Linked DNA regions of Drosophila melanogaster. Changing the gene in region 4 together with the main gene of any one other region gives a genetic interaction. Each region holds a gene or a part of one and is shown on either strand. Other genes may lie near its edges. The genes, in order: PPO2, Hayan, spz and Spn27A.

Evidence for each region.
Region 1: of Spn27A (region 4) and PPO2, changing one enhances a phenotype caused by changing the other (phenotypic enhancement), as found in Drosophila melanogaster (one study listed by BioGRID).
Region 2: of Spn27A (region 4) and Hayan, changing one suppresses a phenotype caused by changing the other (phenotypic suppression), as found in Drosophila melanogaster (one study listed by BioGRID).
Region 3: of Spn27A (region 4) and spz, changing one suppresses a phenotype caused by changing the other (phenotypic suppression), as found in Drosophila melanogaster (one study listed by BioGRID).

The regions. Positions count from the first base shown.
Region 1 is NT_033778.4:9,041,761-9,048,493, forward strand, and holds PPO2 (prophenoloxidase 2), read right to left. Parts: upstream 2,950-6,733; 5' UTR 2,861-2,949; coding exon 1,877-2,860; intron 1,822-1,876; coding exon 1,726-1,821; intron 1,668-1,725; coding exon 906-1,667; intron 850-905; coding exon 637-849; 3' UTR 501-636; downstream 1-500. Other genes in the region: Ance-4, read right to left, coding at 1-51, 286-327; CG13743 (uncharacterized protein), read right to left, coding at 4,746-4,988, 5,898-6,089, 6,154-6,266, 6,416-6,577, 6,707-6,733. UniProt on the Drosophila melanogaster protein: This is a copper-containing oxidase that functions in the formation of pigments such as melanins and other polyphenolic compounds.
Region 2 is NC_004354.4:18,478,064-18,486,015, reverse strand, and holds Hayan (hayan), read left to right. Parts: upstream 1-2,243; 5' UTR 2,244-2,575; intron 2,576-3,372; 5' UTR 3,373-3,379; coding exon 3,380-3,461; intron 3,462-3,526; coding exon 3,527-3,707; intron 3,708-3,882; coding exon 3,883-4,659; intron 4,660-4,787; coding exon 4,788-4,855; intron 4,856-4,883; exon of another isoform or gene 4,884-4,950; coding exon 4,951-5,222; exon of another isoform or gene 5,223-5,287; coding exon 5,288-5,474; exon of another isoform or gene 5,475-5,531; coding exon 5,532-5,878; 3' UTR 5,879-6,033; downstream 6,034-7,952. Other genes in the region: psh (persephone), read left to right, coding at 20-203, 262-371, 437-720, 779-962, 1,021-1,367. UniProt on the Drosophila melanogaster protein: Serine protease which, by converting prophenoloxidase 1 (PPO1) into its active form, plays an essential role in the melanization immune response to physical or septic wounding.
Region 3 is NT_033777.3:27,063,762-27,072,721, forward strand, and holds spz (spatzle), read right to left. Parts: upstream 6,310-8,960; 5' UTR 5,449-6,309; coding exon 5,383-5,448; intron 3,735-5,382; coding exon of another isoform or gene 3,597-3,734; intron 3,439-3,596; coding exon 3,361-3,438; intron 3,124-3,360; coding exon 2,847-3,123; intron 2,720-2,846; coding exon 2,338-2,719; intron 2,271-2,337; coding exon 2,093-2,270; 3' UTR 2,042-2,092; exon of another isoform or gene 1,928-2,041; coding exon of another isoform or gene 1,799-1,927; exon of another isoform or gene 1,675-1,798; intron 1,562-1,674; 3' UTR 1,327-1,561; downstream 1-1,326. Other genes in the region: CG43935 (uncharacterized protein), read left to right, coding at 1,799-1,927. UniProt on the Drosophila melanogaster protein: The activated form, spaetzle C-106, acts as a ligand for the Toll receptor. Binding to Toll activates the Toll signaling pathway and induces expression of the antifungal peptide drosomycin.
Region 4 is NT_033779.5:6,669,682-6,676,129, forward strand, and holds Spn27A (serpin 27A), read right to left. Parts: upstream 3,667-6,448; 5' UTR 3,495-3,666; coding exon 2,151-3,494; 3' UTR 1,384-2,150; downstream 1-1,383. Other genes in the region: cup, read left to right, coding at 1-9, 83-832, 4,620-4,633; CG34310 (uncharacterized protein), read left to right, coding at 4,378-4,547, 4,625-4,844; cort (cortex), read right to left, coding at 5,119-5,381, 5,441-5,590, 5,649-6,020, 6,079-6,448.

The DNA.
Region 1 (6,733 bases), on a different chromosome or scaffold from region 4:
ATTCACAAACGTCTTGGCCTCCAGGTCAATGTTGGCTGCTGCAGTTGCGCACTAAAATAAATGACAATCAATTAAAAGCAGCAAATTCACTTACAATATTATTGCTATTACAGGCTTAGTTTAGTCTAGGTCTTCTAAGTATCCTCAAACTATATAGAAACTGACACGCATCTAAATGAAACATATTTCAAACACGCAAAATTATGATTTAAAGTTATCTAAAGACCACATCTTTTTGTGGGATCTTTGTGGACCCATAGATTATTTAATCGGTACAGTGCTTACGCCAATGCCCGCTATCAGCACCAGAAGCAGCAGCAGGCCCATCTCCTCGGGAATCGGTTTCACTTTCGCACTCAACACCGGATCTGCTCGAACTGAGGTGCTCCGGCCGTGGAGCTGGCATTTAAAGCTTCTCCCGGGCGGCTGATAAGCCTAATCAGCGAGAGATTCTCGCCCGGAGGCCGAGCCACAATAATTGAGAACAAAAGTGGGATTGTGGAATGCCATGATGTCTTGTTTATTAAGCGGCTCAATAAAGATGCAATAGATTGCTAAGAGTTGTATATCTAGAAGTGGGCGAGGTCATGGAATCGGGTCAGGGCGAATCGGGAAAGCGAATCAGGTGCGGATCGTCTAGTTTGGGCGCTGCACGGTGCGGTTCTCGTGGCGGATGTTCACGTCCACGATGCTCATGTTGGGCGTGAGGAAGTTAACCAGGCGGTCGACTCCGCTGCGGGGCAACCTGTCGAAGGGGAATCCCATGGACTGGCGATCCGGGTAAAGACGGTCACGGACGCCACAGTAGGAAGCGGCATCGCTGCACCGACCCACCAATTGCTGGTCAATCTGGAGGTGGAGATAATTGTCAAAAATATCCTTGATTTACTAGCCAGCTAACATACCCTGTCGTTCTCATAGTTCGACACCATGATGAACAGCACGCACTGCAGTCCCTCGGGCAGACCCTTTGGCACCAGCATGTGGTTGGGCCAGCCGCAGCCGCAGAAGTTGAACTCCAGCTCCTCCGGAGTGCCGGCCGCCGGACGATTGGCATCCAGGTTGCGGAAGGTGCGCTCGAACGGAATGGTCACGCTCGACTCCGTGGAGCGGCGGCGGATGGTGTTGGGTCCCGGGTTCAGCGAAGTCACGAACTTGTCCAGCTCGATCATCATGGAGCGCTGATCTCGCATCAGCATGGGCTGGCCACGCTCGTCGTTCTTCGGCGCCATGAAGATGCGCACGTAGCCGAAACGCTGGGCACCACTATCGTTGTTCAAACTGATGGTATAGGTGAAGGGCAGATGCTGCAGGTGGGTGAACCTGGCGAAGACATTACCTCGCGGCAGGAAGTCGAAGCCACGGGACATGTCCACGTCCGACTGCTGCCAGAAGGTGGTCAGATTATTGGGACGACCTCCATTGGTGTCCACCTGGATGCCCGCGATCGAGACGCCCGGGTAGTTTAGTTGGTTCTCGGTATAGGCGGGCAGGCGCGACTTGTGCTCCTGGAAGATGCGGTCGATGTACGAGTGCCACTTGTAGAAGACCGGGTCGCGCATGGCCGTGGACACATCACCCATCACGCCAAAGGACTCCAGGTGCTTGCTGGTCGGATCGTGGGCGTACGAGATGAAGGTGTGTCCGTTGTTGTGCAGGTCACCATACTAGGGGAGCAATAGGATTAATCCCTAGAATAATTTACTAAGGGTAAGGACTTATTACCAGCACTCGGTTGGGCGACAGAATGGATGATTCAATCATGTTGCCGAGGGTATCAATGCCCGTCGCCTCATCCAATGGCACCCGGTTGCCACGCTCCTGAAAGGGAATATGGCATGTTATTTAGTTAATGGAAAACCCACCAACAACTCACATCCATGACAAATCCTTGGTGAATGGCCTCGTAGATGCGATCACGCCAACGCTCCAGATCTCCAATCTCCACATTCAGCTGGTCGGACTCCCGGTTGAGATCGCTCAACCTGGTGCTCTCGAAGCGCGGTGGCCACGCGCGGCTGGCTACCAGAGAGTCCATCTTGGGGAAGTAGCCCTCGGCAATGGGATCCCTCAGGTTGTTGAAGGGCAGAACCCTGGCCAGGTTGTTGCTGAACCGCTCCGCATTGTAGCGGGCGATCACCTGCTGGTGCATGTAGTAGAAGAGCTCGCCACGACGATCCTTGGCCACTATGCTGCGGTCGGAGGCCTCGAAGGGGTAGACCAGATGCCAATGCCAGTGGTGAAGGTTGATGCCCAGATCCTCGCGGAAGTACCACAGCCGGTGCTCGGGATCCAGATCGGAGGCGGTGTAGTCCCTGGGAATGGTGATGGGCATCCGGGAACCGGGCTGCACCACAAAAGACTCCTCCCGCATCTTGCGGATCACCTGCGAGTCGATGAAGCGGTCGGGGAAAGTCTGCGAGAAGGATGGCAGATCCAGGCCCTGGGTGTCCGGACGATGGAGCAGCGCCACCGACAAGGCGTAGTTGAAGAGCACCGGGTTGACCCGATCCCTGGCGTACACCGCCACGCTCTGCAGGTCGTCCACGGAGCGCATGTTCATGAATATATCGATCAGGCGGCCGGCGATCCTGCGGTGCTTGGGCAGGAACAGCGAGAACTGCTCGTCCCGGCCCAGGGACATGGGGATCCGCAGATCGGGAATGGAGATCTCCCGGACTGGAACGCGCTGCTCCACCTTGTCGCCGACGCGGCTCTGCACCTCGTTGCTGATGGGTCGGTAGCGGTCGGTCAGGAAGGAGTCGGGCACATCGAACACGGTCACCCTCTTGCCCTTGTCCATGAACACTGGCTCGGTGGGATGGTCGAAAAGCAGGAGGAGATTCTTCTTGTCGGCCATTTTCAATGGGATGTCAGGGAGGACCTGCTGGATCGCGGAGCAAACTAAATGGGGAATGTGACTGGAAGTCTGGGAACTTCACGACTGTGACTATTCACCGAAAGAACTGCACATTTTATACAAAACTTCGAAGGCACTAGTATCGGTTTTGAAAACCACAAGAACGCCTGAGAATTGAAATTGTCGACAAATTGCGGCGATAAGGATATAGTATGGAAACCGCAGTGTTGTTTTAGCATATTTCTAAAATGCAGTTTTATTATTTCAAGAGTATTTCATTTGGTTTTGCTTTAGCTTATCTATACATATATACTATTGGAATGAAATCGGATTTTGTTATCTCTGGGATATGCCTGCGTTGTAAATCAAAACTTCTCTACGCACACGATCCTCCGGTCAGATAGCATCACATCTAAACAATTTAATATAATAGTATGTATATATATGTAGCTACATGCATAATACGGCAATAATAGTTATTACAATTCGGCTATAATCGATCAATTCGTCCCTAATTCCCTACTACTGCTTTGATATACAATACATATATTTATTTAGCATAGCGCTAAAAAGAGAGATACAACGAGATATTTGGCGAGTGAAGAGATGAGCAATATCGTACGACAAGCGGATCTACATATATATAGCGTGTATATACAGGAAGTCTGTGGAAATTGTATGCTGCTGTTTCCGTTTCCGTTCTCGTATTCGTTGTGTAAAAGCGATAGGTTCAGTTGGTTAGTTGTTTAGATCTTGTAAAATGTATCTCAGAAAAGCCCTGGGCATGTCCCGTGTTCCTTGGCCATGATATGTAGTGTTTAAGCTCTTAGAATATAGAGTTGTGGGGTCTTCAGCTTGGTTCCGATCTCTCAGCCCGAAGAGAAAGTAAGAGGTGATGGCTTTTGTGTGAGTGTAAAGACTTTAATCACATCCAAAAATGCATACACATGTATTTACATAATATCGTGCAGTATAAACCAAGAGTTGTACAAAAATATATCTATGTTTCTGTATATATAAATATTCGATCGTGTTCGGTGTACATATGCAATTCAAAACAGAATTCAGTGCCGTTAACAACTCAAAACTGTTGTTCAAATCGATGTGTTGATGGGGATATATTGTAGTTTGATTTTAGTTCGGTTCAAGCGCATTTTTATCTACCCTTGTATACATATACATACATATAAAACTGGGGAATACGATCCGGTAACGTCGGGGCATACATAGTTACAAATAGTTCTCGGTACATACATATAATACTTGTTCGATTTCGTTTTCGATTTTGATTCACTTCTCAACTTGGGGAGTCGGTTGTCTCTAAGGATTGCATGTGTATATTGGTGCCCAAATAGTTTCAGACTACGCTAAAGCTACGGATAACATCTAGTTCTAGTTCGGTTTAGTTTGCCTTTGCTCGTTTCTTTCGATTCAATTCAATTCAAATCGCTTGCTCAACTTGATGGCTTCAAAGTACAGAGTACGGAGTACACACACACTTATATATCGAGGAACTTTCACTACTTTCAACAATATCGACATCAACAACGGGGATCCAACGAAATGTACACTTTAAACGACTATCCGGTGCAAATATACATGGGTTACTCGATCGGAGAGAATGCCTGGCCTTTGTACTGAGGTTCGCCCGTATCACACATCCGCTATCCGCTATCCACTAATCCAATTCAACACTGTGCCTACTACTTACTTACGCAGATACTTTGAACGTCTGGGACTCAGGTACAAGTTTCTTTCGATGCGACGTGGTGCAGCTGTATTAACCGAAGGTCAAATCAGAAGTTTCAACCCAAAAACCCAAACCATAAAAATGCGATCCCAACCCGCGCGCCCCACATCGTGGGCTGACTTCCGTTCCGTTAACTTAGTTCGAGGAGGTGGTGTTCTGAAACTCCTGCCGGCAGTAACCCATCACAATGTCCGATCGGCAGTCGCCGCCCATTAGACCCGGCAGGAGCACCGCCGCCCCCAAGATGGTCACCAGGGCTCCGAAGACCACCAGGCCCAGAGCGGGCAGCTTCTCCCGGCTGAGCAGGGCGTGCGGCTCCATCTGAATGTAGGCCAGGCCGGGCAGGATGTAGGCCAGGGGAATGGCCGCCAGGAGACCCTGAAATGGGTGGATTGTTGAATGTACTGATGGGCTGACGGGCTGATGTTCTGATGGGCTGGCTGATGGGTGGGGCATAAATTTGCATGGCAAATACAAAGACGGGTTCCGGCCAGAATTTGTAGATGCCGTTTGGGATTGGCGTTGTGGCCAATACCCGTGACTGGAATACAAGGGGCAAATGGCTACGGACGATAATAATAAACTTGGCCATACGGTTCTCCCTTTGGTCTGGCAAATGTGAATGGTGAAATCGGAATTAGTCTCAGATGTATTTAATGAAGCATTTGGTGGATTCTTTGTTGCATAGCTTTCTACTTGAATATATGGACTTTGGGAATTGGAATTTATTCTCTTTCATCTAGGCCAAATATTCACTCGGAAATAAATGCAAACGAAAACCGTAATAAATAATCTTTAAGTTTGCAAATTGCTTAGTCGAAGTTATCTCGATGATAAATGGTCTGAGCATTATAAATGATAAGAAATGTGTTCTTTCGGAAACTAGGAACATAAATGATTAATTTGTACATTAAAAAAGGTTTTGGGTAAACTCTTGCTGATTGTGATTAAACTAAAACACAAGTAAGCAGCTGAGTTTGCGGATTTAAGTTATCGCGTGTATTGAGGTAAAACCACAAAGTCATAAAGTGGGATAAATAAACATCAAGTGGACTTGTAAAAAATATTAGTATTGAAAGAAAGTATAAAGAAGATTACAAGTGCACATGGTCGCAATGATTTAAATAAATGTAAAAGTAAAGACTTTAAAGTAAGACTTTAAATGTTTCTTATTTCATCGGATGGGTACCATTCTTACATATATATAGAAACGCCTTCTTTTGGTCAAGGGTACCCAACCCATTTTCTAGGCGAACATGGATAAGGGACATGGAAAATCCTACTCACATTCAGCTCCAGCACCGAACCCAGGCAGTCGGTCATGGGCGAGATGACGAAGGCGCTGAACACGATGGCCATGGTAATGGCTTTCGAGTACTCATCGATAATGGCCCCCTTCTCCAGGCTGGGGTCCTTGTCCTGGGTGAACTCGCTGATGGGCTCCTTCAGCACGAACCGATGGACGAGGGCGCGCACAATCTGTGGGGAATGGCCCAAAATAAAAGTATGTTGCTAAACTGGCTCTGCGATTCCGGATGCTCACCTCGCGGGACACGAAGCACTCGATGGGGAAGGTCAGGAGTATCGATATGGAGAAGAGCACACGCGAGAAGTTCATCAGGTCGTCATCCCAGCAGTAGTTCTCCAGCAGGTCGCCTGCAAGAAGGAAAGCCGAATCCCATCGGGATTGGAACGGTCGTAAGCAGTAAATACTACAAGTATAGTAAATGCCGAAAACAGCAGACAGGAAACATCCACAAATTGCCTGTCACTGCAATTAAATGCAATTTGTGTCAATCCCTCACCTTGGGAAAGAGCGCGGAAGGTGGAGTAGCCGGCGATGCCGAAGAGGGCCGCCACCGTCCAGGCAAATCCAATCGAAATGTGGGTGACCTTCTCCCAGCGCTCCATGGTCGCGTCGCGCATCGATTGATAAACGAGGAAGGTGTTGTGATGACACATGAAAGCTGCACGGACGGATGTCCAATAAAAAGATAGATAGATACATAGATAGATAGATGGATGGATGGGATACGCATATGGATATATATGGAAGGCAAGTGGAAAGTCAAGTGGAAAATCCACACTCTGCTCACCGAAGACCATGATGCCCGTGGCCGGGA
Region 2 (7,952 bases), on a different chromosome or scaffold from region 4:
AATCTTGCGTTTGTTTCAGTGGGTCGGGCCTGCAAGGTGACGGATACCATGCCCGGTATCTGCAGAACATCCTCCGATTGTGAGCCCCTAATCGATGGCTACATCAAGTCGGGAGTCCTGACGCTCAACGATGTGCCCAGCTGTGGCCTCGGCGCTTGGGGTGAGATCTTCTGCTGTCCCACCAAGCCGTGCTGTGACAATAGGTAATCCGCGAATTGCTTCCATTGGGATCACATAGAAATGGGTTGTTTGCCTTTGCAGTACCATAACAAGCGTTTCCACAAGCTCCACCACAAGCACAAAAGCTCCAATGACCAGTGGTCGTGTCGATGTGCCCACGTTCGGAAGCGGTGATCGCCCAGCAGTGGCAGGTGCTTACTCTTTTGATCAGATCACTCCTAGAGTTCCTCTACTTATTTCCAATCCCACGATATAGCCTGCAAGAAGATTCGCGAGCGAAAACAGCAGAGGAGCGGCAATCAATTGGTCATACACATCGTGGGCGGTTATCCGGTTGATCCGGGTGTATATCCCCATATGGCGGCCATTGGTTACATCACTTTTGGCACCGATTTCCGATGCGGCGGATCGCTAATCGCCAGTCGCTTCGTCCTGACCGCCGCACATTGTGTCAACACCGATGCCAATACGCCGGCCTTTGTTCGCTTGGGAGCTGTGAACATTGAAAATCCAGACCATTCCTACCAGGATATCGTCATAGTGAGTCACTGTGCTTATGCATTAAGTTATAGCCATTCTGATCGATACCATATCTCAGCGAAGCGTTAAGATCCATCCGCAGTATGTGGGCAATAAGTACAACGATATCGCCATTTTGGAACTGGAACGTGATGTCGTCGAGACGGATAACATCCGGCCCGCTTGTCTCCATACGGATGCCACCGATCCGCCATCGAACTCCAAGTTCTTTGTCGCCGGTTGGGGCGTCCTAAATGTAACCAGTGGGTAGCACAAAAAGTTCCATATCCTCCACTTCCACTAATGGCTAACCATCCGCAGCTCGGGCGCGATCTAAGATCCTGTTGCGCGCTGGTCTGGAGCTGGTGCCTCTGGACCAATGCAATATATCCTATGCGGAGCAGCCCGGTTCCATAAGGTTGCTCAAGCAGGGCGTGATCGATTCGTTGCTGTGCGCCATTGATCAAAAGCTCATCGCCGACGCATGCAAGGGCGACTCCGGTGGGCCGCTCATTCATGAGCTCAACGTGGAGGACGGCATGTACACCATCATGGGCGTCATCTCGTCGGGATTCGGATGCGCCACCGTCACACCGGGACTCTATACGCGTGTCTCGTCCTATCTGGACTTTATCGAGGGCATTGTCTGGCCGGACAATCGGGTGTAAAGTTGGGAAAAGTAAAGTTTTTGTTTTTTTTGTATGTATATTATTTCTATTTGGGATCAGGACTGCCTGATCCATCGCAATTGGCAAACACTCATCTGTGATCTCTATGAGCACCGCGATCGAACCATTTAATACCAATAAAGTAGATACGTTTTAAGATATAATCAATCGGTACAATATTATTTCTGGCAGTTCGGTTTCCAGAACTCTGTGAAGTGATTTTTCTGGTTCTGTTTAATTTTAGAGGGATTTCTGGGTCACCACTTTTATTGAATTGCTGCACTGTATAAAAAAAATGGGGAAATACAAACAGAATGCATTTATTTCAGAAAGATTTGTCATAAGAAATTTAAATTTTAAGCATATGTTTCAGACTATAAGTTGAAAAGGACTTCTTGGGTCACCACCTAGGTCGCAACCTAGGCAAGAAAGTAAGTATCTGGGTCACCACTTTAATTAGAGAAGAATTATACAAAAAAAAAAAAAACAAGATTACTGCAATTGAAACTATATATATGGTAAGTTCTAAAACACGATTCTGTGACACAATTATACTCGACTTTTAAAGGTGTAAATATCGGGGTCACCAAGCGCAGCATAGACCTTACGCGGTATCCTTTAGTCCATACCGCTCGCCTGTTGCTTACCCACTCGCTAATTACAGGCTGCCTTTGTGCTTTGTGTGCTCTGGCTTCTGATCGCTTCGGATCGTTCTGCGATTCTGCGAAGTGGTGGAATGGGAAACCGGTTCGCCGCTCAGCGGGAGAGGATCGGCTCTGGGTGCTATCAGCTGCTGGGTCCGGCGCTTCTTGGTCGACGTCTAAATGGGCCTCATCGGTTCCAGCTCCAGCTCCAGCTGGGGCTCAGAAGCTTGGCTTCAGTTGCTTGGGCGATGCGTTGCTGAGCGGTCAGAGCCGGGAAAATAGCCAGCAGATTCCATACCGCCGCGATTTGTGATAGCCACCGGTTTTTAGCTTTATTGACTCTGCTGGTGTGCTTTTTGCGGTGTTTTTTTCTTTATTTTTTATTTTTTTTTTTCGTAATTCCCTTGGATTTTGTTTTGTTTATGTGGTATTGAATTAAATTGTATTGTATTGTGCGGTGCCCGATTGCCATAGTCACCACAGTGCTCGACGCACTCAATAAACGACATCGATACGTAGACGTACTACTCCCTTATCAGAGACCGAAAAAAGGTCGTGTCAAAGGTGCGTTCGATAAGGCGGACGTCGGTGTACAGTGAACAGTGGACAATGGACATTGGGATTGCGGGATGTGGGGATGTGGGGCTATGTATTGCATGTTCTACTTTTGATTTCGTCGTGTTTACAATGGGCAATTACTGCGGAAGGCCGGAAGCTGATTAGCAATCGCATACCTATTTAATACAATTTCATTTGGGCCGATAACAGGTGATGTCATGACACTTTTGCATTGCTTCAATCGGATATATATGATTCAGTTGAACTGCAGACACATTGACGACTCTCTGCTCAATTGAGCAGCATAATTGTCAGGTGTTACTTTCGTATCGGTTATTACCGACGTAGCTGCGATATCAGTTGGCAGTACACGTCTTTAGCCGGTGGTAAAATCCCAGCGGCATGCCTCCCATGAATCATCTGATCTCACCTGGCGGCGCTGCTGGTGAAATGCTCGTCGTAATCGGCAAACACAAACTTTCCATCAACACAAAGTCTCTCAAATGAAATCAATCAAGTCTGGCTTACTACAATCGAGCAGTTCATATGGAGAATGCTTTTGTGGTGTTCCCATATTAAAAAAAAAAAAAAATCGTAAATGGGTCAATGGCAGTGGATGTGGATCGGTTTAATCAGCTGAAAGTCGAGTCGATTGAAAGAAACAGATCTCGTTTGTTTTTCCCTTACCATTTCGACGAGGGCTTCCCCTGTTGTGAAAATGATGTTTTCCATTTTCGGTTTTGATAAGGCTGATAAGCGTTACCAAGTAGAATGGGATTCACTAATGCTTTTGGGAATTTCAGCTGACCGATGGCGATGATCTCGGCGAGAAGGTACTTCCTTCTGGGTCTCCTGGTGCTGACAACTTCTGCGTATGTAACAGTTGGGGATGGTATGTAGGATGTCTTGCGGCGCGTACACTAGATCCTTGCCAGCTGGCCGCATTTCTCGTTGCAGAGGGCGATCCCTGCCAGGTGAGGTCGGACATACCGGGAATCTGCCTCTCCTCCTCAGCCTGCGAGAACATCAGAGGATATTTGAAGTCGGGCACGCTGTCCACCAGCCAGGTGCCGAGTTGTGGTTTTGGCGCCCGCGAGGAGATCATCTGCTGCCCCACCGTCGCCTGCTGTGCCACTGAGTAAGCGTGTCCTTGTCTCCTTGGCCTCTGCGCTCTATTGTCCTGTTTTTTGTCCTCCTGTTTGTGCACCATATATATGTGTTTGTGTGTGTCCCGCTTGTGCTGTGTGCCCACCGATGTTGCATGCCCCGGTTACCGGCGTCCAACGCCAGACTAACACCTCTCACTCCCACAGTCGAGGTCGTGAGGTCCAATTCCATGCTACGAGCTCCGAGCGCAGCAGTTTACCCGAACCCAAGCGGGAACCAACACCAGAACCGGAGCCACTGCCTCCAACGACCACCGAGGGGAAAAGGGAGCGGGAAAGTCGGCTGGACGAGAATCAGAACTTCTTTGACTTCAACAAGCTGCTAAGCACCACAGTAAAGCCGCAGAAAACCCACGAGTCCTTGAAGTTGCCCACACAGGAGTCGATGAAGACGCCCACTCACGAGTCCATGAAGATGCCCACTCACGAGTCAATGAAGTTGCCCACACACGAACCCATGAAGTTGCCCATCCAAAGCGTTGGAGCTTGGGGCATAGCTCCTTCGAAGACTCAACCCATTGCAAGCACCCAGAGATCTTTTATGGAACCGGAGTGGGGCCGTGAGCCACGGATTGTGAACCGTCCACTGACCACGCCTCGATCACGACCCCAAAGACCGAATAATTCCAATTTCAATACCAATCCAAGCCCCAATAATAACAACCTCATACATTTGGTCAACGATCGGCTGCGGGAGCAGGGAATGCAGATTGAGCCTGCTCGAGAAGTGCCCATGGTGTTGCAAACCACGCCCACGCCCACACCCGCACCCACGCCCACGCAATTGATCGATCCCTTTGAACCCTACCGATTTCGGGGCCAGGACAGAGACAAGGATACCCAGCCCCAGGAACCCTGGAACGATGTCAGCAATAATCTAGACGCGGATCCAGCTCCCAGCATCTTCAATCCAGCCGAGACGCGGTTTGTCTGAGCATTCTTTTGGCATGGACATCAGTTGGCCTCAGCCAGGGAGCCGCATGCAGTCTCTGTCTCAGGTGGAAACCATCGTGAGCCCAATTTTAATCGCTGATATACCTTGTCTTTCGCAGGCCAACGACGCCCAATCCCAATCCCTCCCGCGTCAATCTTCCCGAGAAGGAGCGACCGTCGGTGGCAGGTGAGTTGCGCATTCTTTGGAATATTTTATATGAAAATATCTTTGGAGATATATTATATACAATATATATTAAATTTCCTATCATCTGATGATAGCGTGTGAGAAGATCCGATCCGGTGGAAAGCCCCTGACGGTGCACATTCTGGACGGCGAACGGGTGGATAGGGGCGTCTATCCCCACATGGCGGCCATTGCGTACAACTCCTTCGGGAGCGCAGCGTTCCGATGTGGTGGATCGCTCATCGCCAGTCGATTCGTCCTCACAGCGGCTCACTGCGTCAATAGTGACGATAGCACACCCAGTTTCGTCCGTCTGGGTGCGTTGAACATCGAAAATCCCGAGCCGGGCTACCAGGACATCAATGTGGTTGGTATCGCCATGTGACACATGGTGCGAGATAACCAGTTGAACTCACTCACTTCCATTGGCAGATTGATGTTCAAATTCATCCGGACTATTCCGGCAGTAGTAAGTACTACGATATCGCCATTCTGCAGCTGGCCGAGGATGCCAAGGAGTCCGATGTCATCCGTCCCGCCTGTCTCTACACGGATCGCAGTGATCCGCCAGCGAACTACAAATATTTCGTCGCCGGTTGGGGTGTAATGAATGTGACCAGTAAGTTGTGTGTGCGTAAACTGCAGGATTGGATTGTGTTCGATGGTGTCTTTACAGATCGTGCCGTATCAAAGATCCTGCTGCGGGCGGCTCTGGATCTGGTGCCGGCCGACGAGTGCAATGCATCCTTTGCGGAACAGCCGAGTGCCAACCGGACGTTGAGAAGGGGCGTGATTGCCTCGCAGCTGTGCGCGGCGGACAAGAATCAGCGAAAGGACGCCTGTCAGGGCGATTCCGGTGGACCTCTCATCCTGGAGATTGACGACGTCGACGGCACCTACTCGATCGTAGGCGTAATCTCCTCGGGCTTCGGCTGCGCCACCAAGACCCCGGGCCTCTACACACGCGTCTCCTCCTTTCTCGACTATATCGAGGGTATCGTGTGGCCGTCGAATCGTTTCTGAGGCGTCATTTGATCTGCAATAAATTTAGTTTGAACGGATCGGATGGTGTTTCCCATCAAAAGTGTTTGATAAAGGTATTTTGTCTTTAGACAAAGTTCGACACAATTCAGTGAGTGTCATTAAAGAAGCCATAAGGGTTGTTCATTCAGTTCCTCAAAATGTTAGAATCGATTTTATTTTATATAATAGTGTAGTATAATAGTGTAGTATAATAGTGTAGTATAATAGTGTAATAGAAATTCAAACATCTGAGGCAACTAAGAGGTATCATAAGTGCCAAGCACTTTACCCACTGACGTTTTGCAGCAGCCCTGGTTTCGGGACAGCTGTCAAACTATCGCTGTCTGCGCCTCACCCGCTCGTACGTAAACAGAACTGAGAGCGCAAAAGCTCGCTGCGCGCGGCATTGCCAGGTGTGGCATTCGAAAGTTGCGACAAAAGCTGCTTACTGAGCTTTTGCAGTCAGCTGTTCGCCGCCGTTACAAAGTGCTGCCGGCTTACTGCGGCCAAACAGCCAGCCAAACACCACCCACCACCCACCACCCACCGACCCACTGGCCCCGTCCGCTCGCAGCAAACCAGCCCCCGCTCTCCCCACAAGGCCGCACTCCTGCGGGCAGCAAAAGTGGGAGCTGCTTAAATGGCGCTGCCAGGACTCCTCGGGCTTCAGTTGGTCGCGAGACTGCGAAGCTGTCGGTTTGCCTGCTCAGCGGTGAAGGTGCATTCCTAACGCACATAAAGTCTCGAATCCGTTGGAATTTGAACACGATTACCGTTAGGCGTTTGAAGTGTACCGAATCGAACTAAACTAAACTGAACTAACACAAGTCCCGAGTTCGCGTCGTGTTTGTTTATTTACTTTTATTTTTGTTACATTTTTTTTTTGAGTGACCACCGCCCGAATTCATGAGTCCGTCGGCCTGACCTGACCCCAAAAAGTTGAAACTTCCACCAAACAGTTGCAATCGTAAATGTAAGTCGATCTTTGTGTGCTTGTGCTTATCTGATGGACAGTGACTGTGTTTATCGTACGCCCAGTCCACCCACCATATGTATAGCCACTATCTATTTGGGTGGCATGTACTAACACGGTGGGAAATTGATTCCGGCGGCACATCTGTTTCCACATCGTGCCCGGCGATAACGTTTCCTGATCCGTTCGAACACAGCCCGGACTCGGGCGTAGGCGCACGCGGACCACACAACAGGTGCCAAGGCACCGGGACTAATGATTCCGTACTCCGTATTCCGTGCTCCGTATTCCGTATTCCGATTCCTGACACCCCGCCCCCGCGCATCCAGCAAATCGGCTAAGTCTGGCTAAGCCAACTTGACAAATGAGCCATGTCCTGGCATTCTCGCCGGGATTTCGGAATTACCTTTAGCATTCCCGGGAAATGGGCGCAAATCGCTTAGCGAGGTGAAATACCATAAAACAGTGCTACTCAGAATCGAGAAACTATTAGAATTTCAAAAAGAAAGCTTATACTAGTTCAAAATAGTTTTTTTTTAGAATAATAAAACTGTGACATTTTAATATCTCGATTAAATTTAAAACTATCTATCACTTGAAATATTTATTATACTATAATAACTAGCATTATTACTATAGTTAATATTATTATTATTATTTATTATGACTATAATTACTTAACTCATGTGAAATATAAAATCTCCTGATGTTTCATTAACAATCTATCTCAAACGGATGGAATGAAATCTTCTTATATTTCATTTGAAACAATGCAGCTGAAAATGCCAAACTGCAAACAACATAAAGTTTAAAGAGTGAAGAGTTGGCTTTTAAAAAGACAATTTATTTGTATCCTATAATGAAATTAGATGCATATTAAATGAATATTCCATTGCTTTTAACCCAATGAGTAATGTGACCGAGAGATGAAATTTAGCCTGTTCTAATAAATATGGAATAATTTAATGCGCCTTTATGCCCCATTAACTATTAAAGCGAATTTATCATTATGCTTGTATTACAATCATTATTATTGATTGTTTAAAATTATGCATGTTATGGCATAAGCCAAAATGATTGATCGCCTGGTATTTAATTTAA
Region 3 (8,960 bases), on a different chromosome or scaffold from region 4:
ACTGGTCTAAAGCAGCGACTACCGGCGTATTGGAGCCCGGGCGTCGTCAACAGAACGTATTTATACCAGCCAGTCAGCCAGCAACCGAATAACAACAACACGGCTGGCTGGCTGGCTGGCAATGGCAATAGTACTACCAACAAACAAATCAGGCAACCCCCATTAACTCCTTCGGCCATGCAAATGTGCTGCGGCAATTACGAGCCACCAATGCGACCCACTAGCCCATCTCCATTCCCACCCAAAAACGCCGACACTGTCTGACTGTCCTGCATGTTGTCCATATCCTTGTTTTTAGTTCCATTGTATCCATTAGGGCTAGGGTCGCTCCGTTTCGCGAAATGGTTTGTAGCTAATATACAGCAATATTATATATGGAGCATTACTTAACAAATGATTTAGAAGTAATTAGCACCGATAACGCAGGCGTACTTAATATACAGATGTGTAAACGCTGACTGTGATTATGTATTAAACGTGCACCTTTGTCGTGCAACCTGACTAGTATTGCTAAGTGATTAAGGTATTAATCTGAGGTATGCGGCGTTCGAATACAAGTTCCAGTGTATTTCCACAGTGAATCAGAACAGAACACGAAGGGACGCCAAGTGACCACAATCCGCGCAACGGAGCCAGTGGCGTAATGAGAAAAAGTACATTACAAAGGGCAATCCAAACTCTACGATTATATATATACATATATAAAATCGGTGGGCGGAGATATATGGATAGTTGCTAATTGATATGGACGCGGCTGTGTGTGGCTGTTGGGGATGTGCATGATTGATGACCCTGGCCAATGCCCAATCGACCAGGGCACGACACTGGATTTGGCCAAACGGGAAGGATACCTAATAATAGTAATTAAATTGTGGCACTTTGCCCGCCCACAACGAATCCACAAGCATTCGCATTGTTCGGCCTAACTTTGACATAGTTTATTGTGTCTGGGAATCGATAAATACTATTGATTTCCACATGTGCCAGCGCCAGCACCTCAAGACACATCGCGCATACGCCCCGCTGACAGTTGGAAAAATCCAGCGCCAGGAAGCCGAAGTCGATGCATGTTATCCTTTTGCCGGTGAAAGCCAACCACCACCCCTTTGGGGGAATGTGTTTACACTCACTAGGGTGTAATTGGTTTGCGCAGCGGGGCGAACCGAATTATTGTTAATAAGCAAATAAATTGTCCACCAGGTACTCGCTGATGGGTTCAAAGAACTTTACTTTGCTGGCATGTACTTGCATACATTTATTATACATTATCTTTTTTTAACATACATTTTTCAAATCGTTATTTCTATCTTTCTTGTTTTTTTTTTTGTGTTTTGTGTTTTGTTTTGTTTTTATTCTAGGACTAATTACTTGCATTTCTAGCTTAGGCATTAGACGTGGAAGTCAAAAATGAATATATGACACGAATATGGTTAAAATGACTCGACTTAAAGCTCTAAATTAATATGCACATTGGTCTATGTGTGGATTCAGCAGATTATAGAATAAATCAATGACCACTGATCAGTTTGGCCTGCCATTCTGTGGTGGGTGAAACTTCTTGCTGCAAAGAGAAGAGATACAATTTATATTTTTGGTCTAGTTAACAAGGAAATAATGTCAATGAAGCTGTATACATATTTAGAGTTGTAGTCTCAGTCTGAAAAGTTTGACTCTTCGAATCACAAGAAACATTATTCTTGAATTTAAGTACAATACTTGATAAAGCACAGTTCGAAAATCCGCATTCGAACATATTTTCAAGACTTCTGAATTGCAGACATTATACTATCTCATTCCGATGGATCGCGTCGTTGGCAATTTCGAGAACAAGTTTAAGCATTTGGTGAAGGCTGAAAGCAAGGGAATGGCCCTAAAGCTGGTGGGATTCTACGCCGTCGGCTGGACCCTGCGCAAGTTGGTCAAGTGAAGCGTTCGCCTTAAGTCGCAAGGATTCATTGAAATCCTCTACTTCTTGGTAGTCAGTCGTTTCTGTTCTGTACCTATTTTTAAAATTTAATGTACGAATAAATCGTGGCCTCACCTCAATATCACATTGTCGCAGCCATCGACTGGAGAATCCCATTTTCCAGAATCACCCAGTCTTCAACGCGCACTTGCAGCAGGAAGGGATCTTGAAGGAATTCTGCACCACGTCCAGTTCGCCATCACTTTTGATGCTGGCCAGGGTCTGCTGTGTGTAGTGCTGCTTGCAGATTGGATTATAGCTCTGCGGAAAGTTGGCGGCGAAGTCACAGGGTTGATCCGCTCCTCTGGAAGGGAAGGTTTGGCAATTAGCAAGGCTAATGGAATATATCATAGATTCAAGCTATAACTTACTCGCACTCTTCGATCTGGATGGCCTGTTTGTACTCATCGTTATTGACAATTAACTGCCAGGTGTCGTCCGCCCTCAAGCCCTTTTTTGGGTACACCAGCTTCCTGATGCTCCTGCAAAGGAATCGCTCGTCTGAGCCACCAACGCGAGAGCTCACATCCGTGGGCTGAAGATCGTTGCTAAAGAACTTGGCAAAGTTGTTTTTTAGCTTATGTGTGAGGCCTGAAAGGTCCGGATAGTCGTCCACATTCGTGCAGAAGTTTCTAAGGTGTTGGCTTTCATCCTTGGCGCAGGGATTGTGCTCTTTAGTGTCATTCCTCAAAGGACGAGCTGGGGATTGTGGTGGCCGATACTTGGCTATGGGGGAATCGGGGAAGACAAAGGCTAAAATTAGGCAAGCGCCAAAGGCAGTTGGCCAGTGAGTATGGGATCGATTTAGTAGTTAGTTGTAAGGCATGTTTGGGTATCGAATGTAACTGAGCATATATAGGCTAAAATACTTAGTACTTACTATCCGATGGATGTCGGGGGGGTATCGGCTGTTCGGATTGCACCTCCGTGTCCGTCCTCTGCAAAGATACGAACGTATCGTTAAAGACCAGATTCAGCTTTCCATTCGGGGAGCGCTGCACTTTGAAGTACTGATCTGGTTGGATCAGGCTGTGATACTGATGGTAATGGCGGTTCGTTTCGGGTATCGGAGATTGATTCTGATTCTGTTTCTGTTTCTGGGTCGGATCGTCGTGCTGGGTGGGTATGGGCATGAAGGGTGCACTGTCCGCGGACGTCTGTACGGGTAAAATTTACTCGTGTTAGTCTTTAGCCAATTGGCAAAAAAAGGAAGCACAAAGACAACACACAACCCAATAAGAAACCAAATGAGCAGTGAAATGGGGATGCAATATAGGATGAAGAGTAGTTATAAGAAAGCAGCGCACCAATTCGTCCTTGAAGCTATGAATTGCGTTTCACATCAAAGACACATTTTACAGAGAAATCATGCATTTGCCTATGTATACACTTACATTAAAGAGGACAACTCCCTCATCATTGGTTATTGTAAAAAGCTCTTTGATGATACGTTCATACTCCTTGGCCTCGTACTGTAGCAAAAATGGCGAAATAAAAAGACAAGACAATAGACTTTAGTCTCGGTTCAGAAGTTTTGACCACACCACAGACAAATTAAGGCTATTAAGGTGTTAAGCATAACGATACAACTGGGTCTGTTTCGGGACACTCGGGGACACTGTGCTCACACCTGTAAGTGATTAGATGCTGACTTTCCGGGTCCGCCATTGTTAATGGTAGCCAAAAGGGCCTTATAGTCTGCCACTGTTTTCTCTGCCCTCACCTCGGCCTCGTGTCGCTTCGTTAATTCGATATTGATATAAACTATCTGAAAGATACAGGTGAGAGTTTTGTTTGCAGTTCATCAACATTGCCAAGACAACGGAGTATATATTCGTGGGTCGGTGCTCGGGCTCGTTTGTTTGTCAACCCAGACTTCTCTCTCTCTCTCTCTCTATTGTCGGGCACTACATTTGCGTATTCAAAAGGTTTGAACAGCTGTTTTTCGGGCAAGCGCAGTTTTCTCTCGCAATTCTATAGTTCCGTTGAGTTAGGACCCGAACCTATATACATATAACAACAGCCAGAGTCCAAAATCAGAGTTGATAATCCCCTCGAGAGTTGCCTCTAGCTTAGCAACTTGAAAACGGATGTCCCTCTTCCGCAAGCAATAAAGACTGAATAATTGGAAAATCTAAAGGCAAGCCGATCCTGAATAAAAATCAACATAATCCAACCGGAAGGTTATTTATATAAAAGAACAAGCCAATAGTTGCTTTTAATGTATTGATAATCCGAGGACCATAATTATGCAAATAGCTTGGCGATTTTAGAATTATCAGCACTTTTAGTGCTACTCTTTAAAATATTTCTATGTTATATATATATGTATATGCAGTGATATAAATAAGCCTTGATAATAGCCCCTAATCTCGTCAAGACTTTTTATTATGCTTAAATTCTTGAATAGAGTCCATGGAATCGTCAACAGAATTTACCCAAATTAAAATTGGGTCTCGACGAGCATGTAGAAAACCCGCTTTAAGGTGCCAACCCATCTGAACTTGATTGTCTGAGAACTTTTGCGATTTCTCGGAAATGTTTTTTCCCAATCAATTAGCAATCAACCTTTTTTTAAACGCGTTCATCAGTGTTTGGCGTAGACGCAACTAAGGCAAACATTGGATCGTTTTTCCATCACAGTTTTAGGTTTTCCGTGAACCTATTGGAATTTAGCTAGAACTGAAAACGATCTTTAGAACCGGTCCGCTGCGGAATTCGCGGAAAACCGGAAAGACAAAAGTTCTCGGGCGCTTTTCAAACGGATTTTCTAACATTCGACGCCATTAATACGAACTAATTGCTTTTCTCACAGAGATGATCATACAATTTGTCCGGCAGTAAATTACTTCCAAAGTCGTGTGCAGAATGTCTGGCATTGTTTGTGTCAATTAATATTATTGTAATGCCTATGATGTGCATTTATCATATAGAGAATGAAAATTGCACATAACCTGCCGCTGGCAATGCGAACAGGTTTTCTAGTCTGTGACTAAATTTAAACTTGAAACTGCCCTTCGGCTAATGGAACTGCTAGAACAACTATGGAAAATCTAAAATAAATCTTAATAGCTAAAAAGCCCATAGCCCGAAATATATTGCAATGAAATGACAGTTATGTTAAGCATAGATTAACACGGAACAGAAAAAAACAGAAATGCAGTCGAACTTTCATAACTGGAACAAGCGAGCACCTGTTTCAAATAAACAAAAAATCAAGTTCTGGAGTCTTAAGATCTTAAGTGCTTGTCTTAAGAAGACAAGGAGACTTTAACCTTTTATCAGATTAGATAGATTTGGAATAAATTATTGTTTCGACGCAAAGATCTTTAAATTTTAAAACTTTAACTTCTTTTGAAAGTTTCCCTTATGGAGGTTCGACTGTTTTGAAATTTGTAAAATTGTAAATTTCTCACCGTGGCAAAGAAGGCGAACAGCAGCAGCAGGACTTTGAACAGCGATATCCACATGGGCGTCATCATGCTCGATCTCGGGCTTAATCAATTGGATTTATAAATATATATAGATTCTGCGGACGGCGAACGTCTGCGTCGGGGATTAGTAATAGTATATAGCAGGTGATTGGCGGATCGGTGGCGTCTTATACCAATTTTCTTATTTCTACAACTTTGTTATTATAGCGCCGGCTGCTGTTGTTTTTTAGTGATCTGTGCGTTTTTTTCTTTTTATGGGCTTTGCGTATATAAAAAATAAACAAACTGGCACGACTAAATGTTAATGCCGGGCCTTTATACTGGTAGCTGGTGTTACTGTTGCCTCTTATTTATTTATAAATATTTTGTGCGGTGGCTCTGTGTGATATGTTGGCTATTCCGTTTTGTTTGTTTCCTTTGCACGTTTGCGAGACACACAGACAGACACTTCAATTAGTCGGTTTGCTTTTCACTTTAGTTTCGCTCTCGCCGCTTTAGTGGAACCGTTTTCGGATCGGTTCGATTTGGTTGCTCTGATGAAATGCCGCGATATTGATATCGTTTATAACCGATTTGGCTTGCAACTGGGCAATGGGCTATCCAAGTAGCTGATCGCAGGATATGTGAGTCTTCAACTTTTCGGCTCTGTGCGCCGTCTTTGAGTGACACGAAAAGCTCGAGATGAATGCGCTTTTATGGACCTCAAGCCCGATACCATCTGCCACCGATCTTAAGTGTTTATAGCGACGCGCGCTGGGATTTTCCGGTCAGATCGAGAGTTTCACCATATCTCCCGGGCATGCAGAGTGTTAAGCATTAACCAAGTTCGATTTCGACTGCGATTTCGATTTGGATTTCTCGCGATCGAGAACACACGACAGCGAGAGCGCACGTCTGGGAGGCAACTGAAAATGAAAAGTGGAGCCCAGAGGCCGCCGACTCGACTCGTCTGCTCCCCCAAACAATTGCTCAGTGCTTAAGTGCAGCTTTAAGCTAGCTTGCGAGAGTGTGAGCGGGAGCGGGCGCTGTGCGCGAGCGAGACGCCGCCGGTCAGAGGCGGTGGAAGCGGGATGGGTAGTGAGCGCGAGGGTCGTGCGAGGGAGCGGGACGTCTGGGCGAGCGGACCGCGATTTTATCACAGCTGACTCCGAGCAGTGCTACTAATTGCGCCTGCTTCACGAAAAACTTTACCAGTCGGAATTATCTGAATCATATTACACTTGGAGAAAAGTAAGTGCACATCAAACTAACACTATAATGACTAACGTTTTTAATTACATCTGTTGTTAAACCAAATACAAATCACTGGAGCTTTAAGAAGAATATCAAACCCTCAATTGTACTATTTTAACACATAAGTTAAAAACATACTTTCAAAAACTAATTCCATACAAACATTTTATTCATTCTAATCAGCATAGTTGCCATAAAGCTTTGCATAAAATGTACATATCGTTTGAGTGGCATTTGACACCAAAAATTAACTTCGTTATCGCAAAATTTTTTAAAACAAATATTACGAAAAAGTTAGAGCAGCCACAGAGTAATGTTTGGATGCCTCGAAGTCAGAGCTTTGTTATCTGCGGAAGTCAATCAAAGCTGCATTTTGGATGATTAAGTTTCCGTTTGAAATAATGAATACTGTACTTAATAAACACTTATGTACAAATTTGCCCTTTTCGTCGACCCATTTTAGTAATTAACTATTATCTGTCCGCTTGTTATTGAACATACGCGATTAGAGATTTATTGCTTTTTTATTAGGTATACTTAAAGAAGCAGCGATTGAATTATCACTTTTATTTAAATCCAGAAAGAAAACAAGTTTATAGGTAGCCCGAAAATATAGAAATTTCCCCGAGCTGAAAATAACCAAACTTTGTGGCAAGTGGGTGGTTGATTACCACCTTCTCTATCGGGCTAAACCCATGTTAGCCAAGTGTAGGGCTTCTCACAGTCGGTCAAGTTGACCTGTGAGAAGGTGCCGGCCAGCACTTGTTGCTGCTGAAAGTAAAAGTGGTGCCGGGCCAAAGCTCGGCATCAAAGCTCGCGGAGCACAACTGCTCTGCTCTCGGCACCACCACCAATGAAACTATCCCCACGTTGGAGCCCATCTAATATTTCTAACACATTTGATATTCCGAACGGGTGCCGCAAACGCCAGTTCCGTTGGCGCACGCGTCATGGGAGCCGCAGATCCGAATCGCTTAAATTAGCCCGCCAGTCGCCGCCTTGGAGCGTGCTGAGGCGCTTGGGAAAGATGGTGACTCAATTGGTATTTCCGAGAACGGCGGACAAAAAACCGCATCTTTAAGTCGCACACTGCAAGTAATCGCCATGTAAACGGCATCTGACGCAGTCGTGCCTGAATGGATCTACCTTGTGTGCTTATGTTTATGGCCCAAAGTGGATGTCGTTCGCCATGGAAAAACGGGAACTTCTTAGCAGAATGCATTTTACTTGGCCATATCTACTCATAGCATAGCCTTTCCCCCGAATTATGCACCAATGACTGAGTTGAGGCCATTTCGTAGAAACATCAGCTGCACTGTTGATTCATAAGAATTTCTTTATCAATTAGTACGTAATAAAATGCAATGAAGGGGGGCTGTGTAAGTAGATAACTAAATTGCATGATGATGCAATTTTGTATTATTGTAATGCCCATACATATCTGTTCTAAACAATCTAAAATTCTCAGAAATCAATTAAATCCTCAACTGAACAAACCATTTCAATATATTACGATTGCATCAAACTTGTTTAAATCTACTTGCATACTTTAGGGATCTATTAAGCTTGTGGTGCATATATTTAGGAGGTTTCCAAATTGTATTTTTATGAGCTAAGTTAATGTATATAATTTCAGCTTCCACTATCCTAAATGTTAATTTGAAATCCATTTAGCAGTAAAATTTTAAGTTAGCACCGCCTTAACTAACTTCATTAATTACTTTCAGCGAAACGGCTAAAGTTACAACTTATTAGTAAACATTGAATCATACGTTTGTCTGAGAATTGATACATTGGAAAAGGTCAAGACTTTTCACAATGTCTTGCAATAGTTGTAGTATGATTAACTTTGTAAAGCTTTGAATACCTGTTAATATGTGCGTAGATTAGCTTTAATGAGCAAATATACTTCCTCTTTTAATTTTAATCATTTTATGTATCATATTAGCACAAACTTTGCGAACATTAGGTAAGCCTAAACTGTTAATTTGAAGTGCCAAATGAAAATCACAGAGCTTAAGTAATTAAGGTGCCATTTTTCCAACGACTTGATCCAATTAACCTAATAGTTATTAATCGAGAGGGAAACGAGCTCATTTAGGACGCCCATTAATCGATGTGGCACCTTGGCGATCCAGATGAGCGGCAGATTGGCCAATCGGGCGAGGATGGCCCAAAAGTCACGGGGCAAGTCAAGCGAGCCAGCTCGCGGGTCAAGTTAACGAGAAAATGGTGAAATAGTGACATACGCTTAATGACAGCCTGCTCATGCATGTGTGTCCAAGTGGTCGCAGTATCGCGCTATGTGTCCGTCCGTCTGAATAAGT
Region 4 (6,448 bases):
TGACTAAAGGTGACGATTGGATGATGAAAACAAAGTTAGTTCCATGTTTTCAATATGATTCTTTGGTTTGTTTACTTCCCAGGGGAAATATCCAAGCACGGATTGCTGGTGCAGTTGGCCAACCCACGCTTGACGGACATGGATCGCGAGGCCATCACTGCTGTATTGCAGTTCACCAACACCCAGCAGCAGCAGCAGCAGCACAAGCAGCAGCTGGACATGCTCTCAAGCACGGTCATCGCCAGCCAGTTGCAGAATCTCCACAACTTGGCCATTGTCCAGCAGACTCTTGCAGCCAGGCAGCAGCCGCAGCATAATCCACAGACGCAGGCGCCGCACCAACTGTCGCAGGAGGACTTGCAAGCGCATGCCAATGTGATAATGCGAAACGCCGTAATGAAGCGAAAAATTGAGGAGCAGACCTCGAAGCTTATCAATGGCGGTGCCAAGCATCAGGCACAGCAGCAATATCTAAACCGTGGCCAGCAACGCCAGGCTCGACCAGATGCCAACTCGAATGCCTTGCTCCATGCCTTGATCTCTGGCGGTGGCAATAACCACGCCTCTGGTTATCCTATGAATGGACAGCCGCAGAAGCATCATTCCAATTTGAGATTCGGTGATAACCAAAACTTCCAATCTTTTGAGTCCAACCAGCCGCACTTCGCCACGCAGTACAAGCAGCAATACCAACAGTCTCAGCAGCAACATCCCCATCAGCAGCCCCAACAGCTGAATTCGCTTCATCAGAACAACGCTGGAGCTGTCAATAGCTTCAATAAGGCCCAAATGCAAGCTCAATCAGCTATTTCCATGCTGCCCAACAGCGGGGGTAAGTCATTTTAGTACCTAATTTAGAAGATCTATTATATTATGATACAATCGTACAGTGGGTACTCTCCGTTAAGTTTACCCTATCATTTGTGCTTTGAAAGCAAAGTCATCACATATAACAGTTAGATTTGTAGTTTCTTGACAGCGTTATGGTCATAGTTCTAAAAGTCGGGTTAATACCCAAGGGAGGAAATTTATATTTTTACATTTGTGCTGAGTTGTTATCATTTACGGTAATATTATAGTTAATAAGCTGCCTAATGGCCTCCCCTTCTTGGTATTTCGCTTATGTGTCTGAGTCAGACGGTCAATTTTCAGGCTGATTTTTCGAAAGCAGAGCAAATATGCACTTTGATGACCACTTTCACGTATTATCTGTAAACGGGTTTTTGTTACTGCAAACATTGCACACTTTGCAATGCACTTGATCACATCTGCGATATATTTACAAGCTGTTGATTCAGATTATCACTTGAACGCCTCTACAAGGATGAGCTGGCTGGAGTTTCGAATCAGAAAGATAAATAAAACATGAGAGATAGGGCATTTAGTCGAGCTTAATATATATATATATATATGTTTTTTCTTTTAAACTAATAGACCTTGTTTACACTTTTCGTTAATACATCGTTTAGCCCTAGAAAACATTAGGACTTTTATAATGATTTCATTGATGAATAGCAATTGAATTGTATTAAGCTAACAAACTTTATCATATACTTGTTTCTAAGCTGCGCTTAAATTCCCAAGCTTAGCTGGCTTCCTTGTTTGTTCAAGAGATCACCAGAACGTGGCTAACTACGCAAACTTAAGATTTCCCAGTCGAACAACATCTCAGCCAGCCCCCTGAGTCATGGGTTCTATTTGCCGTCGACTATGTGCGCAATCGGTTACCCATCGATCTCCCCATTGGATATTGCCGATGTTACGTTCGTGGGACATTCCCAGAGTTAGCAGGTATTTGCATCTCTCACTTGATTGCTGCCTTTTGCTTTCAATTGTTCGTGGCATGCCTGGGCGAGGCATAAATATAAAAACAAACATTTAACGACAGCACCAGTGGCTTTATCAGCCAGCGGAATGTTGTGGCCTGTAGATGGGAACCGACTCGCTGGGGGAATCGTCGCCACGCACGATTACTGAAAAAGGGGTCAAGAGCACAGATTCGTTTCTCGTTTGTAGGATTCAGCAAAATGTATTAGAAAGCTTATCCACTTGCAACACTTTTCACATCATATTAAGGTTAACTGAAGCGCAGAGACTCTCATTTGTTTGTATATTTATTGCGTATTTAAAGATAAAACCGCCTGAGAGGCTTAGTTCTGGGTGGTGGGTGAGTGGACTTTGCCGGCAAACAGTATGTTACCAGTGGACTCCTCCTCGATAAAGAACACAAACGGCCGGTTTACGTTGAATTCCTCGATGGCGGTGCTGCCACCGAACTTGTTTTCGATCTCCACAACGGTGGCTGCGTAGGCCTCCGTTCCCTTCTCGTTCACATTAATGCCGGCCTTCTGCAGGATGTTAGACACCTTTACTTTGCCGGCGACATCAGCGCCGCGGGTTAATCCCGGCAGCGAGGCGCTGTCCTCAAAGATTTCGCGCACACCCAGGCTGCGCAACGTCTCCTTAAGGTTCTGCTGGTAGTCGAAATGGAACTTGGGCAGCGTCACCTTCACTTTCACCTCCTCCATGGCCCACTGAGCGCTCTTTAGCTCGTCGTTTTCCAGGTTCTTGACCAAGTCATGGATGCCATTCAGGGCGTAGGGCAGCAGGACGAACAGGGAGTTCTTGCCCTTGTAGGGCAGACGCAGAATCTGCGCCTTCAGCTTCTCCGAGGTGGTGTAGTAGAAGTAGTCGGTCTGCTCCATGAACTCCGCCCGCGACTGGTCGTCCTTGCTGCGGAAGAAGGATCCCTGGAATGTGGTGGCAAACTGCCGCCGCCACAGACCGTTGAAGTAGATCAGATTGGTCAGCAACATTACGCTGCTGCGCACGTTGTCCGGGGCTACTAGCTGCTGAAGTCTGCCCTGCGTGATGTTGGCGGCCCAGGCGTTGATGGCATCTGCCGCCGCCTCGGGATTGGTGAAGTCTAGCGCCTCCACCTCGCTGTCGTAGAAGTGTTTCAGCGTGGCCGTGAACTTCTGCTGTGTCTCGATGAAGCTGTCCGTGAAGAGCTTGGTGCGCACACTGAGCGTCTCGTGGAGCTGGTTCTCCTTCTTGAAGGAATTAAGTGTCTTGCGGTAGAACTCCCGCACATTATTTTGCGATCGAATGTCTGTTTGCGTGTTGGCCAGCTCCACTTGCGTCTGGGTTCCGGCTCCGGCCGCCTCAGCCAGCAGGGCCAGCACCAGTTTGACGGAGAACGGCGAGATGATCACATTCTTGTCGGCTGTCTCGTTCTGCAGCACCGTCTTCAGTAGATGCCATGAGAACGGATCGTGCGAGTCGCTCCGGAAGGGCACAAAGGTATCTATATCGTCGTAGATACCCGCTCCACTGGGCACGCTGGCAGCGCCACCGGGCAGCTTGTCCGTACGGGTTTCGAATACGCCCTGGGGCGTCGTGGTCGTCGGTATGGAGTTGCCGTTGCCCGTGGCTAACGCACTCAAAAACAGCGACAGCAGCATCACTGCCAAATTTCCGCCCATCTTTGTCATCTGTGCTTCCCTAAGCTTCTGCGTCTCGATCTTCCTCGGGTCTTTGCTTTCAGCCTCTTATTCGCAGCAAAACAACTGTTAAATGCGGGCTTTGGTGGGGCGAGCGGCGAGAGAGCGCCGGTGGAGCGAGCGATAACCGTTTCACGCGCCGTTCCAACTGAGAGTGACTGGTGCGCCGAGCGGGCTGGCCATTTTAAAATCGAGCTCCAGCTTCAAGCCGCTCTTGACGCCGTCCTCTGCTGCTGTGCTGCCGCGTCGACGGGGCAGCGCATGTGTGTTTTTTTTGTTGGGACTCCCAAAGCATACGTACGTCATTATCGCAAAGTGATGAGTGTGGTTAAGTGATGAGGGAAGTGAAGGGAAACGACTAGACTATACAGTGCATCAGTGCACTCAGAGAATTTCCATGCCTGTATTGACAGGATTAACCAAAAAACCTATACAAATATTTAAGGATCATTCATCATTATGAATGTTATTTTGTTATTTTGTACAAATTAGTTGCGAACAATATCCGCCTTTATTAGGCTTTCCCCACTTCAGCTATTTGTGAATTATTGCATAGTCATCAAAGAGGAAAGTTTGCAAATGTTATTATTCTTAAACTACGTCACAGTTTCTTTCACGCCCGCTGCAAATACTCAAGCCAGTTTATGAATAGCTATTAATAGAAATTTGAATTTCAAATAAGCTTAAGTTGTGTCGGGGATAGTCTGGCCACGCTGACAACTATTATAGAACTCAGTGTTGGTAAGTGTCGGCTAAACAAAACAGCTGATCTGAAATAAATTCTCATGGTGCGTTGATGTAACAGCAGCCGGCGAAAGAAACTTGTGCATTTAATGAGAAATAAATATAAATAGCCAAAGTAACCGCACGTGCCATGCAAATTCGTCGTCCGCGTGGTGTCACTGTTCCGCAATTGATGGTGGTCACGGCCATTGGGCTGCTAGGCGGTATTTACATTTGGCAACCGCTGATTTTGAAGTACAAAAACGAGAAGAAAACCGAGGCAGAAACGCCAGCAGTAACTGAAACTAGTGGAACCACAAAGTTAGCCCGCACACTAAACCCTAATCTGCTGGCTAAAGTCATATATTAATTGAATTCCGTTCTCGCCCACAGATGAGTTTCATTAACGGCTTCAAAAGATTCGCCACAACGACGGTTGGTCTGATGGCCATCGGTATTGGATCGACTGTTATATTCTACACCACCCATCGCCTTGTCATCAAACCCTATCTTCTCGAGAAACGACGCCTGGAAGCCGAGGCCAGTGCGGAGTACCTCTTCCAGCAGGAGGTTCACTCCCAGATTGGCGAGTCAAGACCCAAACGGAGCGAATATTGAGCCAAGGCTGCCAGTGCCGTCATAGACATCTTTACATACTTATAGCCTAGTGATTAGTTACCAAATTTCAACGCTGTAACATGGTGAACAATGAATGGACTTTTACTTTCTTACCTTCACTTTGGGTGGAGAGGCCCATCTTCTTGTGTTCATTTTAGAGTTAAACAGAATGGATTTTTTATGAAAGTAATATGAATTGAATAAATAATGAAAAGCACAAATGGTTTGAATAAAAGACTAGAAACATAAACAATTAAAAATCACTGTGCTCTGTTCACCGTATGCCTTTGTACAGGCTCAGGGAGCTGCACTTGTCCTTGGCCTTTTGCTCTTGCTTTCTCAATATCGCCTCGCGCTTATAGGTGGGAAAGAAGTTCCACAGCGAAAAGGTGTCGTCCAGTCCGCCGGTGGCAATTTTCGTTCCATCCGGATTCCACATCAGGAAGAGGGTGCCGCGATCCTGATGGGACATCAAGTCAACCACGCGGTTTAAGGAGGCCAAGACCAGAATTTCGCACACTGCAAGGTCCGCATCATCTGTAGATATTAGAATACATTATTTTTAGCAAGCATTAAGGATCCAGTGCAGTTCTCACCACGCCGAATAACGTTGACCAGCAACTCGCCCGTGATTTTGCTGTATGTTAGTGTCTTTATAACGATTCTGTCATCCCTGCGCCTGTACGAAGCCACAAATTGTCGGCGCGGGATGTTGAATATGAAGATCGACGCAGGGCTTCGCTCCGCTGTTAAGATAATATTCATGTTGCAGATACTCTAATAATTAATCTGCCACTATCTTACCAACGGCTAAATCCTCTCCAGTCCACGGATGCCAGTCAAAGACTATGGACCTGCCGTCCAACTTGAGCAGGCGAACCTTTAGCACCGCATCGAAGATGAAAATCTTGCCATCCGTATCACTGGATGCGAAATACTTATGGGTGGGAGCAAACTTCATTTTCTTCACCGTGTGTCGATGCTCGCGCAACTGCATCAGGGTGTTTAGCGTGGGCATGGCCAGCACGATGATGACGCCGCACTGAGTGCCGCAGATGACCTCTTTGCCGTCGTGGGACCACTCAATGCAACTTATGTAGCCCATGGACTTGAAGAACAGCTTGCGGTAGGAGACCAAGAACTCCGTAGGCGACCTCACCTCCCAGAGGTCCAGAACTTGTACGAAAGAGGAGGGTTAGGGCTTTACAAAGTTATTGCTTAGGGTCTGTTATACCTGGATAGTTTCTATCCATGCAGCCGATTGCCAGGTGCTTGCCATCCGGCGAGTACTTGAGGGAAGTGGGCGACTCGACGCTGAAGACCATGGTGCTCTCGTCCAGATTGCGCCACAGCATGACATCCTGTCCGGAGGACATGGCCACCATGCCGCCGGACGACCAGTCCATCATGTTGTAGTCGACGGGACTGCATATGCCAGGCATCTCATGGGTGGCATTCTGAATGGCATATGGTCGCGCCCGTGGATTACATGGCCAGTCCGAATCGGCGGAGTCGTTATCGACCACCCTGGATCTTGTGCCCTGCTGGCTGCTAAACTGAAACAGGCGGCGCTCTCCGATGCCAAAGGTTCGGTTGATGTTCGA